Linked DNA regions of Arabidopsis thaliana. The protein of the gene in region 2 interacts with the protein of the main gene of each other region in a pairwise test. Each region holds a gene or a part of one and is shown on either strand. Other genes may lie near its edges.

Evidence for each region.
Region 1: the proteins of ROPGEF4 (region 2) and AT4G34220 interact in a protein complementation assay, tested with the Arabidopsis thaliana proteins (one large-scale study listed by BioGRID).
Region 3: the proteins of ROPGEF4 (region 2) and PGRL1B interact in a protein complementation assay, tested with the Arabidopsis thaliana proteins (one large-scale study listed by BioGRID).

What each region holds. Positions count from the first base shown.
Region 1 is NC_003075.7:16,380,648-16,386,194, reverse strand, and holds AT4G34220 (Leucine-rich repeat protein kinase family protein), read left to right. Parts: upstream 1-1,726; 5' UTR 1,727-2,140; coding exon 2,141-3,821; intron 3,822-3,949; coding exon 3,950-4,542; 3' UTR 4,543-4,722; downstream 4,723-5,547. Other genes in the region: AT4G34215 (carbohydrate esterase, putative (DUF303)), read left to right, coding at 5,003-5,547.
Region 2 is NC_003071.7:18,881,381-18,886,386, reverse strand, and holds ROPGEF4 (RHO guanyl-nucleotide exchange factor 4), read right to left. Parts: upstream 3,011-5,006; 5' UTR 2,848-3,010; coding exon 2,571-2,847; intron 2,506-2,570; coding exon 2,389-2,505; intron 2,302-2,388; coding exon 2,159-2,301; intron 2,073-2,158; coding exon 1,998-2,072; intron 1,919-1,997; coding exon 1,613-1,918; intron 1,528-1,612; coding exon 1,177-1,527; intron 1,070-1,176; coding exon 947-1,069; 3' UTR 658-946; downstream 1-657. Other genes in the region: TRM13 (Phosphatidylinositol N-acetyglucosaminlytransferase subunit P-like protein), read left to right, coding at 1-318; BAM7 (beta-amylase 7), read left to right, coding at 4,563-4,976. UniProt on the Arabidopsis thaliana protein: Guanine-nucleotide exchange factor (GEF) that acts as an activator of Rop (Rho of plants) GTPases by promoting the exchange of GDP for GTP. In association with ROPGEF1, acts as a specific regulator of ARAC10/ROP11 function in ABA-mediated stomatal closure.
Region 3 is NC_003075.7:7,174,352-7,179,973, reverse strand, and holds PGRL1B (PGR5-like B), read left to right. Parts: upstream 1-2,085; 5' UTR 2,086-2,264; coding exon 2,265-2,430; intron 2,431-2,800; coding exon of another isoform or gene 2,801-2,846; intron 2,847-2,928; coding exon 2,929-3,041; intron 3,042-3,128; coding exon 3,129-3,225; intron 3,226-3,313; coding exon 3,314-3,414; intron 3,415-3,518; coding exon 3,519-3,575; intron 3,576-3,701; coding exon 3,702-3,778; intron 3,779-3,879; coding exon 3,880-3,931; intron 3,932-4,037; coding exon 4,038-4,148; intron 4,149-4,381; coding exon 4,382-4,479; intron 4,480-4,564; coding exon 4,565-4,634; 3' UTR 4,635-4,648; intron 4,649-4,736; 3' UTR 4,737-5,088; downstream 5,089-5,622. UniProt on the Arabidopsis thaliana protein: Ferredoxin-plastoquinone reductase involved in cyclic electron flow (CEF) around photosystem I. The homodimer is probably not involved in CEF.

The DNA.
Region 1 (5,547 bases), on a different chromosome or scaffold from region 2:
ATTAGAAAAAAAAAAAAAAAAGAGAATTCAAAAACAATTTAAAGAATAAAACACTATACATCTACCAGCTATGAGGAGTCCATAACTAAGATATAGAGTAATATGTTGGATCTGTGTCAAAACAAATATTTTTTCTCAGATCATTCTTTAAGTACAATCTGACCATCATTCTTGACGTATATAATATGTGCAGAGTTCTTGGGATTCACTAACGTTGTCATCATGGCATATTCATGAAATATGTCGACAGATTAAATCCGCTTAAGATCATATTTTATAGCTATAGTCAAATATTTAAGATCCATTGTCTACAATAAAAGATGACATTATCTTTTATGGGGTATCAGATCGGCCATAGGCACATTATTAGCTATCAGCCTCCGACCAAAAAAACCAAGGCATTGAATGGATGTATATAACTATATAACTTTACAGCTTTTGGTTTATAGATGAGACGTTTACACTGGGGTAAGGATGAAGTGAAAACGAAAAAAAAAAACATTAGACCTAAAAAAAAACAAGAAAGAGAATGAATATACTTTATAGATTGTATAAACGACATCAACCCGTGATCGTTACGTCTAGGACCAGCCAGATGAATATACTTTATAGATTGTATTTTTTACTTACGTCCAAAAAATCTTATCTTATGTGTTTTAGAAATTGACTAGGTTTAATCCCCATCATATCCATAGGCCCCTTTTATAATGCACATGTGAGATTCTTAATGATCACCATTTAAACTTTCTCCGCGTTTACACAAATTACGTATCTTAAATAACTAACACTCAACTAAAGCCTTTGATGAATATTATTATTATGCTACTTATACACGACAAGAAATTGTCCTAACTACCTACTTGTTGCGAATGAAGCAAGCAAATATGTATTAAGATAATTTATGTTTATGCCTAATTATTATCTTAATCAACAAACTATAATTTACAAAATTGTTTTGTGTGACTGTTGCTCTCTCGGACAACACTCGTTTATTTCGCATCAATTATTCTCATTCTTATGTGACTCACTCAAAACCAAATAAGATGGACCACTTCGAGCCTTGTTTCTGTTATATATTCGTCCACAGGCTACACTGAAAGCGATGCGGTCATAGCCCATTCTCTCGTCGCTTTCATGTTTGTTCTCCAAACCTTTTTTTTTCTCCTTGATTGTGCTACTGCTTTGGCTTCTTTCAATTCTTAGATATTTTTAATTTTATTTTCAGCTATAACTTCATTTAATATGGCTAAATAGTTTTCTTGGTTTAGAGTCTTTAGACTAAGGAATAATTTCATGACCATATTTTTAACTTTTCGATTTTCGAAAGATTCAGTTTAGGCCTAACTCAGTTTGCCAACTTGTGTAGTGTGTGAACAATTTACACAAAAATCAAACTCTGCAAGGTCATTTTTCCAAAATTTTGATTATTAAAAAAATAAAAAAAAAGATGAGGATAACTGACATGTCAGTTTTGTGGTGTCCCTTGTTTTGTCTTTGATTAATGTATGGTTCATTTCATACGAGACCCTCTGTTTTGGCAAACCTATAACGGGTTTTCTCTTATAAGTTCTAAGATGAGAAAGTACTACATTGAGATATAATTACTCAATTACATACTGTACTTAGTCGTAATAATAGTCGGTGATTATCCTTTTAAACTTTCTATGGACCGAAATGTTCCAGAAAAAAAATGCAATAGTTTAGACTTTTAACTTTATTTTATTAGCTTTTCTTCATGTAAACCAAAAATAACCCAAAAGCAAGCGGTAATAATTATTCTGTCCCCCATGAATTGCTTTTACTTTAGTGAATGAAGTAGATTTTAAATGCGAAAATATGGCTGCTGCTGCTCATTTACAGTTTTACACTAATGAATAAATATGATCAAGAATCATTGATTCTACACCTTGTCCCATGTCAAGTCTAGTCAAAAGCTTATTTTATCAACTCCGGCTCTTTAAGATTCTCTCTCTCTCTCTCTCCTTCACCATCTCAGAGATTGCTCCACTATCTCATAGATTTGGTGACCAGAACAACTTATCTCTTGAGTGGTTCAACCTCTATCTCTCTCTCTTTCTGCCATGAAAATGCAAAGCCAAATGTAATAGTTAGAGAGGGAGAAACCAAGAACTGAAAGACCATGACTTCCAACAGAAGCAACCTCCTGTTCTCATTAGTCCTCTTCCACTTTCTTTTTGTCCCCACACAACTCCAAGCTCTTAACACTGATGGTGTTCTTCTGCTTACTTTCAAATACTCCATCCTCACTGACCCTCTCTCTGTTCTACGCAATTGGAACTATGATGATGCAACACCATGCTTGTGGACAGGTGTCACATGTACAGAGCTTGGGAAGCCTAACACACCAGACATGTTCAGAGTCACAAGCTTGGTACTTCCCAACAAACACCTTTTGGGTTCCATCACTCCGGACTTGTTCTCGATTCCATATCTAAGGATCTTGGATCTGTCTAGCAATTTCTTCAACGGGTCACTCCCGGACTCGGTGTTCAACGCCACTGAGCTTCAGAGTATCTCCCTTGGAAGCAACAATCTCTCTGGTGATTTGCCCAAGAGTGTCAACAGTGTGACTAATCTCCAGCTCTTGAATCTCTCAGCTAACGCATTTACTGGCGAAATTCCGCTCAACATCTCACTTCTGAAGAATCTAACGGTCGTTTCCTTGTCAAAAAACACCTTTTCAGGTGATATTCCAAGTGGTTTCGAAGCAGCACAGATTCTTGATCTTTCTTCAAATCTTCTCAACGGCTCTCTTCCCAAGGATTTGGGAGGAAAAAGCCTGCATTACTTGAACTTATCACACAACAAAGTCCTCGGCGAGATTTCTCCAAATTTTGCAGAGAAGTTTCCAGCAAATGCCACAGTCGATCTCTCCTTTAACAACCTCACAGGCCCAATCCCAAGTTCCCTTTCTTTACTTAACCAAAAGGCTGAGTCTTTTTCCGGTAACCAAGAGCTTTGTGGGAAGCCATTGAAGATCCTTTGTTCAATTCCTTCCACTCTTTCAAACCCTCCAAATATCTCTGAAACTACTTCACCAGCAATAGCAGTTAAACCAAGAAGTACAGCTCCAATAAACCCTTTGACAGAAAAACCAAATCAGACAGGAAAAAGCAAGCTAAAGCCAAGCACCATTGCCGCAATCACAGTTGCAGATATAGTTGGTCTAGCTTTCATTGGTCTACTCGTGCTCTACGTATACCAAGTCAGGAAACGCAGAAGGTACCCAGAATCTAGCAAATTTAGCTTCTTCAAGTTCTGTCTGGAGAAAAACGAAGCCAAGAAATCGAAACCAAGCACCACTGAGGTCACAGTCCCAGAATCACCAGAGGCCAAAACGACATGCGGTTCATGCATTATCTTGACCGGAGGAAGGTACGACGAGACATCGACATCAGAGAGCGACGTAGAGAATCAACAAACCGTTCAGGCATTCACTCGAACAGATGGTGGGCAACTGAAGCAGAGCTCCCAAACTCAATTGGTTACAGTCGACGGCGAGACTCGGCTAGATCTAGACACTCTGCTAAAGGCATCTGCTTACATATTGGGAACCACCGGAACCGGGATCGTGTATAAGGCGGTGCTGGAGAACGGCACGGCATTCGCGGTGAGGCGGATCGAGACGGAGAGCTGTGCGGCTGCGAAACCCAAGGAATTCGAGAGGGAGGTTCGTGCCATCGCTAAGCTTCGTCACCCAAATCTCGTCAGAATTCGTGGGTTCTGCTGGGGAGACGACGAGAAACTTCTCATTTCCGATTATGTTCCCAATGGCAGCCTCCTCTGTTTCTTCACCGCCAGTAAGTTCCTCTGTTTCTGTAAGCGCACGAAAAAAAAAACACAGTATCATATCTAAAATACGCAAGTCATTTGGTACACATTAGCACTCTAAAATACGCATCACTGTTTTTTTGTCCTTCACAAACAGCTAAGGCAAGCTCAAGCTCATCTTCTTCGTCGTCATTACAAAACCCTCTTACTTTTGAAGCACGGCTCAAGATAGCAAGAGGAATGGCTAGAGGACTATCTTACATCAATGAGAAGAAACAAGTGCACGGTAACATCAAGCCCAATAACATTCTCTTGAACGCTGAGAATGAGCCCATCATCACCGATTTAGGGCTAGACCGCCTCATGACACCAGCGCGTGAATCTCACACCACTGGACCAACTTCGAGCTCACCGTACCAGCCACCGGAATGGTCCACAAGCCTGAAACCAAACCCTAAATGGGACGTTTACTCCTTTGGCGTCATACTTTTAGAACTTCTCACAAGCAAAGTGTTCTCGGTAGATCATGATATAGATCAGTTCTCAAACTTATCCGACTCTGCAGCGGAAGAGAATGGCCGGTTCTTGAGGTTAATCGACGGTGCAATTAGGAGTGATGTCGCTCGCCATGAGGATGCTGCAATGGCGTGCTTTAGGTTAGGGATTGAATGTGTCTCTTCCTTGCCTCAGAAGCGACCATCCATGAAAGAATTGGTGCAAGTGTTGGAGAAAATTTGTGTTTTAGTTTGATTTCTTAATTCGTATAGCCTAAGTCGTTTTGGCAATATAGAAAGTTATGTGTTATGTATGTTTTAGATGTGTTGCTTAATGCTTACTTTACCCTCGCATAATACTAACTCTTACTTTAGAGTTTAGAATGTGTTTCACTGTTTTGTTATGTTATATCACAACCAAAAAGCTATATAAAAATTAGAATCTTAACCGATGAAGCCAATTAAACCAACACAACGGGAATCACTTAAAATTAACTCGGTCTAACTTCCTAACCAAACTTTTAAACAGACCGACCCAAACCGGACCAAGATTCTAGTGTCCACGCCTCAACATCATCTTCTCCGATCAACTCTGATGCTCACCCCACCAAACTTTACTTTCTATTCAGACAAGACATCTCGATAGCTTATTTCTATGGTCTGATCACACGATAGTGTATTCTGATATCATCACTCTACCAAAGAGATACCAAATTATGGAAGGAGGATCTATCACTCCCGGTGAAGATAAACCGGAGATCCAATCTCCAATTCCACCAAATCAGATCTTCATACTCTCTGGACAAAGCAATATGGCAGGACGCGGCGGCGTCTTCAAAGACCACCACAACAATCGCTGGGTGTGGGATAAAATCCTTCCACCGGAATGCGCACCAAACTCATCGATCCTCCGCCTGTCCGCAGATCTCCGGTGGGAAGAAGCACACGAGCCACTACACGTTGACATTGACACAGGTAAAGTGTGTGGAGTAGGTCCAGGAATGGCGTTCGCTAACGCGGTGAAGAATCGCCTGGAAACAGATTCGGCTGTGATCGGGTTGGTGCCGTGCGCTTCCGGTGGAACGGCGATAAAAGAGTGGGAGCGTGGAAGCCACTTGTACGAGAGGATGGTCAAGAGAACGGAGGAGAGTAGGAAATGCGGCGGAGAGATCAAGGCGGTGTTGTGGTATCAAGGAGAGAGTGACGTGTTGGACATCCATGACGCCGAGAGCTACGGGAACAATATGGATCGTTTGATTAA
Region 2 (5,006 bases):
ATGGAGTTTTGTGGACATGGCCCTTGGATTTCATTCGTCAAACCTGCAATGCACTTTTTTCCAGACATGGAAAATGCTGTTGAAGTGGTACAAGAAGAAGTTTACTGGCATCTCTTACCTTTGCCATCTCCTCACACACTAGACCAGATAGTGCGGAAAGACCTGGCTAGGACTGGAAACTGGATGGATCTCCGCTTTGATATTGGTTGCATCGTTTCTGAAACAGGTGAAATAATCCTTGATGAACTACTAGAAGAGATAATCAGCAATTGCAGAGACTTGGTCCAACCTGAAAGAATCAACAAGCTGGTTCCTTAAATCCCACTGCTCCAGATCACTACCAGAAAGTAAACTTTTGTTCGAGAAAGACACTCATGGTCATCAAGAGGCTCCTCTGTTTACTCTGTACAGGTTCACGTCCACTTCAATGGACAAGCTCTAGTTTTCAGTTTTTGTGCAGATACACACAACCACAGCTTTTAATACCCCAACGACTGCAAAAGAAACTCTTTGTCTTGTTTCTTTCAGTCCTTATTATGTTTTCTTTTCCATTTGGCTTCTGTAAAGTTTTGAGTTCTGTTAGTTGTATGTTGTTGTTATATGAGGATTAATAAAACAAGGCTTGAACTTAAACAAGAAGACCATCTCTATTGCTTCATTGTGTTTCAGTCAAGAAACAATCCAAGACAAAAAAAAATTGACAGATTAAGCTCTTTGGCAAATTAGGGCCACTAGTGATGATTAAAGAACATCTGAAATTAAAGATCTTCTATCAACTGTGTGTGGTTGAAATTCTTGTTCACCCTCATTTGGTATTATTGGTTCAGAATTCCTTTTAAAGATTCAGAAAATCATAAGAAAAAAACATACACATTTGTTTGGTATTCTCATTACATCCCAAAGAACTTAATCTGTTCTCAAAAGAAAAAACTCAGTATGAAAAACCCTAATCATCTCTGTTTCTCACTGTTCTGTCGACGTAAAGAACATCATCAATCCACGACACAACATTATAAGCCAAACCTTCTAAAACCCTTGAATAGCTCTCCAATACCGCCTTTCCCACATCCTAACCAAAAAAATAAAACAACACACAAGAATATTCAGCATATAATTTCGATATTTTCCATCGATATCTTAATTAAAACAATATGCAAAATGGCTGGGGCTACTCACTCGGTTAAACTGAATCTTGCAGATGTCAAGTGAGGTCTGAGAAAGTTCAGGGTATCTCTGTTTCAGACAGAAGAGTAAGCTCCTGGCTCGAGCCGCAAGTATGTGGTTCTTGTCATTGCCACGATCTGCATCGCCACTGATATCTTTCATCATGTCCCATGAGGACTTAGAGTGAGTCAATCCTCCAGTCTTACGCCTCCACGTAACTAGTGAAGCCTCAACTTTGTCGGCGAGCTCAAGCGCCTCATGCTCAGATGTGATCTTCAAGATGTCGAGAAGCTGGTCGGGATAAAACTTCTCGGCTGTGCACAGTTGCTTGTAAATCACGTCTCCTACACTTGCTTTCCCACTCTGTACATAAAATCAAACAACACCGAGTTGATTTCAAAACTTTCACATTACATTTATATGGAAGTCGCAAGTTATCCTTTTATACCTTTGGAAGAGTGGTGAGGTAAGAATCAGGAATATCCATGTCATTAAGAGTGGAATCGTTAATGGCCAATGCTGCTTTATGTATCTGACTGGCACAATCGCGTTTGTGACGCAAATGCTTTCGTTCTTCTTCAGATAAACCTTCAGCAGGAACACATGGCACCGGAAGCCACCATTTCTCGTCTTTCCGTTGAACCACCACTTTCCTAAACGTTCCTGAATCTCTACCACCACCACCCGAGTTCATCGATGAGCTTCCTCTTTCAACATACCAGAACTCGTTTTCCGTAAAACTATCCAATATTTCCTACAAAAGTCAAACAAGTCGTGTTGGAAATCTTTTGAATCTTGATTATCTATCAGTCTAATTCGAGTCTTATACTTACCATTAGCATGTTATCGAGTTTTCTCAAAGCAGGAAGACTCATGAGAATATCAGATCTTAGCTTTGTTTCTGTTATCTGAAATTAAAACATCAACGCACCGGTTTTTTAGCGTTTTAAATTGTGTGTGTCAAAATTAAGATAGTGTTGAAATAGTATTTTACCTCAACGTTAGTACCAAGAGATCTTGGAATAACTTCGACAATGTAATCACAAATAGACATGAAACAATTCATCTCTCGTTTCCATAAGTCTTTCTTCTCTGTACTCAATGGTTGTAACCTTAAACTCTGTCCAAACACAGTCGCTGCAATAACACAACAAACACACGCTACACTATAAATACTCTGTTTTGAAAACAGAGCATATTTGAAAAGAGAAGAAGAAGACAAACCATAGAGATTGGTTATGGAGTTTGACACAGTAACAGCAGTACAAACTCCTTTCCCACTTCCTGACATGTCTTCACCAAGCAACAGCTTCGCAAATCTTTCCCTCATCATCTCTAGCTCTGCACTAGAAACCCCGATTTAACGAAATGACAAAAGAAGAAAGTTACAATCTTAAACACTTTACCTGCATCTTCTGCAGAATCAATGTCGCTGTCTTCTTCGTCTCCATCTCCGTGGACGTCGTTGACGACATCATCTTTTGGTTCCTCGGCGTCTTCGGAGACATCTTCTTCATGGCCACTCAAGACAACAGCGTTAGTGTTTGACGGCCGGTTATAAAAGCTCTGAACGTCGAACCGGTGAGATAATCCGGAGATATCTGAGTATGTTCTCCGGTACGGCGAAGAAACAGAGCTCGTCGGAGTTCCCTCATTTTGGTCGGAATTCGAAGAACTCTCCATCACGATTGTGTATAATGATCAATGTTTTTGGTGAGTTTCAAGTTCTTCTCTTTCGTTGTTGGCTCCTCTGGCTCTGATGAACGTGACAAAGATTAATACATGGAGTCTCTTCCTCTTCAGCTTGAGTTATTATTTAATGACTAAAAATTAAGTTATGATTGTCTCCGACGAATGATGGCCGTCCGATCTGATTGTGGGGGAGAGACGTGCCTTCCACATTTGGCTAATCAAATCTCATAATGAACGTTAGTTGCTATATATGCGTTAGGTGTATAATTAATAAGTAAAGGTTGTCCCATTCATTTCTAATTAAATTCTAAATGACATTTACACCATGTTATTGCAATTTTCAGAGAGTAATGTTACTATTGGAATTATTATTTTCGGTTCACATGTTTTTAGTTACAAATTATTAATGTAGACATAACAATTAGAATCACATCGTATAAATGTCATTTACTAATTTTTTTTTGTAGACATTAAATATTTTTAGATCATTTTAATAATAATAATCTCAAATTTGTAATTGTCATCAAAATTAAATCGGATTTACAACATCTTTTAATGACATTTGAGTTTGTTTTGTAACGAATGTTTTTGGTCAACTTTTAGTTGACATTCAACGTAAACCCTCGAGACAAGGAAGAAGGTTCAAGCCAATGAAGCCATGGTCAATGTCTAAGACTTTACTTTGGTTTTAAAACCGGGATGAAGTCCACGTCTACAAGAGTAAAACGGCACGCAGTTTGTGAACACTGTTTTCAAACGACCATAATTAGACATCACATCATGCGAACTGTGTCTGGTCAGGCAAGTCACGTGACTATCTCCCTGCCTTGCCTTGTGCGCCGCAGAGTGCATCGTAATCTCGTGATGGTGGTGGTGGCACGTGCTTCCCTTCACACGTTTAATGAGCCCGTCTCTACTCTTCAATTGGTTTACGCACACACGCATAGTTCGTGCCAAGCCTTAGCTTCACACACTCCTCTTTCTCTCAGACACGCTCGAGCGCTACACACGCGCGAAAGCTCGTCTTCCAATTCACGCTGCACGCTCCTTCACGCGCTTCCTCCATCTCACGGCCAGATCCGCCTCTTTTCACCCGCCGGAGATCCACCGTCTTCTTCTCCTCTCTCTTGGTTTCGCTGACGGCGACAGAGGGGGAAACCTTTGATCGGAAGCTCCATTTATAGGGTTTTTTAGTATTGCTCGATGATTCGCCCAGAGGGCCGAGAATTCTGACCAATTTCGAGAGGAGGCTTGTGATTGTTGAAAGAATTGTGCTTAGTGTCTCTTACTCACAGAGGTCAATGATATATGGTTAGGTACTTAATCTCAATTGTGCTTGAAATAGTCTCTGTTTGGTTTCGTTAGTCACAAAAGTTTTCCATTTTAATGTCTGCAAATATGTTTGTAGTTGAAAATGCTGTTTATATGTTTGATTTTTGTCTTGTAGGATCTTTGATGAAGTTAAACTGAGAGCAGCTTATGCACATTGAGAGATTGAAGATTAATTTCGTTGATACTAAAATTATCTCCAATTTTCTAACTAACTGTAAGCAAGGAAATATCATAGAATATTTGGCTGCATTGTCCAGAAGGATTACACGTGGAGTGTTAAAACCAGAGAAGTAAAGATGGAACATTTCATCATAAGAGGGCAATAACGTTCTTAAACTAACAGAGGTTTGGGTGGTTGGGTTATAAGAGAAGTAATGGCGACGGATATGCATAAACTGCTTGGAACTAGTGAAGAGGATGATGACGAAGAAATGGACATGGATGTGAAGGAAGAAGATGATGGAGACCGACGAAATAGAGACAAACACGCAGCTTCAGGCAGTAGTAGTAATGACGAGTTTATGTTTCAGCAGTCAATGCAAGATCAAGTGGGCACTCCTGGGGGAGGAGGAAGTCGCAGAAGTAGACCGCTTGAAGAGAAGGAGCGAACTAAGTTGAGAGAGCGCCATCGAAGGGCTATAACTGCAAGGATACTAGGCGGGTTACGAAGGCATGGGAATTATAACCTGAGAGTTAGAGCTGATATTAACGATGTTATCGCGGCTTTGGCAAGGGAAGCTGGATGGGTTGTTCTTCCTGATGGAACTACTTTTCCATCCAAATCTCAGGTACTTATATACCCTGTCCCTGTGTTATGT
Region 3 (5,622 bases), on a different chromosome or scaffold from region 2:
TGGTTTTATTATATTATAGAAACAAAAATAATAATTAACCAAGATAGGAGAAAAAAAACTTTGAAAATAAAATAGAAAAGCAAAGAGTTCAAAGTAAACTCTAACCAAATTAAAAGATAAAAAAAGATATAAAAGCATTTTATATTTGGTTAGTTCACCAAATAAAATCTCAAATTCATCGAGTACATCCAAGATTTGGGGAGATTTATGTTGATTAGTCCATTTAAAGTAAAAAAAAAATGTTAGTCTATTCTGACAAACTATTAATGTTAGTAGATGAATAATCATGCTATGCATGAGTTGTTGTTTTGAAAATTGTTAAAAATATGTTGTATGTTCTTTGTTGCTAGTTTGTGTAGTTACATAAATATTTAGATTCATCTTATATAGTTACAATTTTTATGCTTTGATTCATCTTTTGACGTAAAATATCAAGTATATATTTTTCATGTGTAATATAATTATCTATATACATAAGATCTTAATCTTTTTTTTGCTATCATAAATACATAGAATAACAATATAAGATATATTGATATAATAGTTGTAATTATAATTGAGTTATACATTAGCATGATTTTGTATTTTTCAATTTTTTTGAAGAAATAAGTTAATAGTATTGATGGAAGATTTAATGATGTGGAGGACTTTTGATTTTCTTAACTTAATTTTGCTAAAATTTTTATTGAATAATATAAAAACACATGTAATTTTCTTGTATGATAATGTGACATTCATATGGAGAGAGTTAACCAACTTTCATATATATATTTTTTTCGATTCAAAGTAATTCTATGACATAAATTTTGTGAATTATTTGTGCATTATAAACTTAAAAATTTATTTGGTTATTTACATGGGACACCCGTGTATCGAAAAGTAGAGAGAAGATTGAACAAAAAAGCTAACAAACTTTATTTATCTCAACAAAATATTGTTACAAGCGTTAGTTAGAACTGTGTATCATTAAGCTTATATATATTTGAACTTAAGCTCACTTAATCAAAGTTAACCAAATATTAAACCAACATTAAACCAGCGAACCATACATCATAATACGCCTCTCTCAAGTCTTTATCTTCGAAGTGTCTGGTTTCCGAAGATAAAAACATCTTCTTGAGTAAATGATGAAATGACCCCGGATGTAGTGGCTTTGTGAAGTACAACTATCCACAATTTTCATTTATAATATCTAATGAGAGCATATCCGACAATGTTATAAACATTTTCTATCGATTTGTTAGTGGTTTACAAACCACCAATGACAATTTATTTCATGATAGATTCATTGTGTTTTAACTTATGGACAACCAGCATCACAATGATTGTTTTTGTCTATGGTTTGAGTCACAAGTCCGATTCATAATTGTTTGTAAATAAATATTTTTTTGTTGACTAATAAATATTATATTACAACTTTTTCTTGCAAATTACTAAAACTCAAGATTCTTTTTCATTTTTTCAAACATATATATATATATATATATATATATATATATATATTACAACAAAATTCTCTTATAAATTATTAAAATTCAAATTTTTTTATCGCAATTAGTTCCTTAAGAGAACTTATAAATAAATTAAGTCTTACATACAAAATATGTTTTCAAAAGAGTACAATGTGTTTGTTGGTTTTGCTTTCGTGCAATATCATGAAATATGTTTATGGTTTCTTAATTATTTATACCAATAGGTGATTCACCACATGATGATGCATATGTACAATTTATCTATTATAATGAGTTTACTATCTTGACTCCCACAAATCAAAACCCTTATTTTTCTTTACCGTTGTCCGTTGAGATGATAAAATAATAAACTAAAAATGATTGTACATATTTTTGTTATGATTTGAGTTAGAGTTTTTTTTTTTCGTTTATTTCAATTCTACGTAAAAAAAATTATATAAAGAATTCATTTTATTTGTGACTAATAATATCTAAATATTATAATACAATATTTGTTTTTGGTAATTTACCAAAATTCAAGATTTTATTCTTATTTTTTTCAAAATCATGACGTGGAACGCTAGACGATCCAACTTCGCTTATCTCCTCCTAATTTTCCCTCCAATTACACGTTGAAACAAAACAAAACAAAAAAATCAGAAGGAACCTGAAACTATCTCACACAGTAAAAAACATCACCATCTCAATTCTCAACCACACAAATCCAAAGCTTCTAACTTTTTTTTTTGTTCTTCGTCCCGGACAAGAGAAAACAACGATCTCACTCAATCATCGGCGTGAGGGATAAAGACGATGGCTTTTACTCTAACAATCCCTAGATTTTCTGCAATTTCTCGCAAACCCATCACTTGTTCTTCTTCGAGGACACAGTGTCCTGCTCCCTTTACCCATGGACGATCGATTTCTCTCAGACGAAGACTTACCTTATTGCCCCTTAAAGCTTCTACTGATCAATCAGGTCTCGATTTTTATTTGCCTCTTTAAAGTTTCGATTTTTTTATTTGTTTTTGCCTCTGATCTTTCTTTGGGAACGAAATTGGTGTGAAAAGTTGAGATTTTTATGATCATAGAAGATAATTAGATAAATGATTTCCAATTTGTAGCCTTTTTAGGATTAAAATTTGTGTGTAGCTTAAGGTTCTTAAGTTATTAACTCATCGTTATGTGATCGAAACAAAAAAGCACTCAATCTTCAAATTTAGTTGAGAAAAGCTGTTGTATTGTAGCTTTGATTTTGTCTCTGATCATTGTTTGGGAACACAGTGGCTTTTGAGAAAGTTTTGATTTTATTCAATCATAGAATAAAATCACTCAAGCTTTAATTCTAGTTAAGAAAAGTTGTTATATGGAACTTTTTTCCTCTGTGGATTTTTAGTTTTTATACTCTAATCCACTAAAAGATTGCTCCTTGAGAGTTTCCTTACTTCTTAAAATCATTTTTATGACTTGTCTTCAGGTCAGGTGGGTGGGGAAGAAGTTGATAGCAAGATTTTACCTTATTGTAGCATCAACAAGAATGAGAAGAGAACTATCGGTGAAATGGAACAAGAGTTCCTCCAAGCGATGCAAGTAACACATCAAATAAAGTGTTTTTATCATTAGTATGGGTTTATCTCTATATAATCGAGGATTGTTTCTGTTTCTTTTCTTTTGCAGTCGTTTTATTACGAAGGCAAAGCGATTATGTCTAATGAAGAGTTTGATAACCTTAAAGAAGAGTTGATGTGGGAAGGAAGCAGTGTTGTCATGCTAAGTAATGAACACTTATGATTTATAGTTTTGTCAATAATCCATTCGCCTAGGTTCTTGATTCTTGATCTAATTTTATCTATGTATTGTAGGTTCTGATGAACAAAGATTCCTTGAAGCTTCAATGGCTTATGTCTCTGGAAATCCAATCTTGAGTGATGAAGAGTATGATAAGCTCAAAATGAAACTAAAGGTTCTTAATCTATTTATACTTACAAATACTATTTCTTAGTTTCATCCATCTTGTTACATGTGTAATTTGGACAAACGTTATGATTGTTTCTTTGGTTTCTGTAGATGGACGGCAGTGAGATTGTGTGTGAGGGTCCAAGATGCAGTCTTCGTAGTAAAAAGGTAAAAACTCTTAATTGTTCGGATAGCTCATATATTCTTTGGACATTACAGAACATAACATTAGATTCATTGTTTGGGACAAACTCTAGAGATGTTATAGACTTGTGGACCTCCTTGATTATGCAGGTTTATAGTGATCTTGCCATTGATTACTTCAAAATGTTCTTGTTGAATGTACCAGCAACTGTTGTTGCTCTCGGACTGTGAGTACCTCCGGTTCTGTTCCTCTCTCAACTTTCAAATCACATGATCTTAGCTTATGTTAGTTAGTTTAAAATTGTTGTTTTCTTCAATTGTTCTCCAGATTTTTCTTTCTTGATGACATTACTGGTTTTGAAATCACGTACCTGCTCGAGGTAAAACCTCTTTCGACTATTCTACTATGGTTTGGAGAATATATACTCGTAGTAATTGTTCCAGTATTCATGCAACTGATTAAAAAACAAAAACAAAAATCTGCAGCTTCCGGAACCATTCAGTTTCATTTTCACATGGTTCGCTGCGGTGCCTGCAATTGTATATCTGGCGTTATCACTCACCAAACTGATCCTCAAAGACTTCTTGATCTTGAAGGTAAAAACATTAATCATCTTCCAAGATCAGTTCATGAAGTGGAAAAATAAAAGTTATAGAACTAAATCTTGTTTTCTCAGTATCAAAAATGCTTAAACAAGAGATTAGACTTGAGATAATAATCTATTTTGTGCTAAACGCTACAAATTTGGATTGGTATAGTGCCAAATCCTACGAGTTTTATGCGATTATTATGAAATGCTTTTAATTTTCGTGGAACATATCTTTCACAGGGCCCTTGCCCAAACTGTGGAACAGAGAATGTATCTTTCTTTGGAACGATACTATCCATCCCCAATGATAGTAACACCAACAATGTCAAATGCTCAGGGTAAGCTTCTCAGCTGTAGACTCGAATCGATCACACAAATTGTCTACAACGTTTCTTGAAGTCTTATGATTCTTCTGGTTTTTAGCTGTGGAACGGAGATGGTCTATGACTCAGGTTCTCGTTTGATCACATTACCAGAAGGAGGGAAAGCTTAAATCTAAGAGCCAAGGTTTAATTCTTATCTCAACTTTGATTTCTGATGAAATCTTTCTTGATTCAATGGAAAATTCAAAATTTTAGGGTTTTCTTTTTCTCAGGGTTATGTAGAAGTGTATGTAAAATTAATACTAACAAATGAAGAAGGTGGAGAAATTGAAGAAGAAGGAGAAAAACCAAAGTTTGTATGCTGTTTTGTATAATCTTCAGATCTTTTCATGTAGCTCTCATTGGCTTGTGTTGTGTTTGTAAGTAAGTGTGAGGCACATTCAAAGAAAAACATCATATGATTACTTCTTTGAGAAACTTTGCTCTCATTAGGAAAGTAAAATAATTCAAGAAATAAGCACAACCTTGTGTAGTTTTGAAATAATACTTGTATTTTTTTTGTTGTTATAATTTTGAATGTGTTCCATAATATAGTTTCGTTAATCCATGTGAAAATCAAATATGATGTTCTAAATCATTTATAGGTGCTAGTCAAGGCCAGTCCAAGACTTTTTGACTTTTGTGATTCTATAGTTCATTTTAGTATGATTTCTATTAAGAAGCTGATAGATAGATAAAAGTGGGGAACATGTAATAAGAGTTAAGGATTATTACAAAGGAAAAAGTCATACAAATATTATAGCATGCCAAATTCTATCTTTTTAATAAGAAAAAGGTGCAATGATGATGATGACATCGTCGTCGTCCCATGCCCTCTATATCATCATTTACCTTCCTTTTTTTTCTCACCGTTTAGACATTTCTAAATGTATCATTTTAGGATCGAAAGAATATAAGCAATTTACAAGACTACAAAGTGTGTATAAAGTAAAATGTCACGAGGCTAGAAGAAAGTAGGATAGTATTCTAAGCATTATAAAACATCGGTCATGCTTATTCATTATTATGTCTTAAGGATTAATAAAAGATACATAGTATATACTATATACTGATCATGTCTGTCCCCAAAACACATGCCAACAAAGTAAAACACAATCA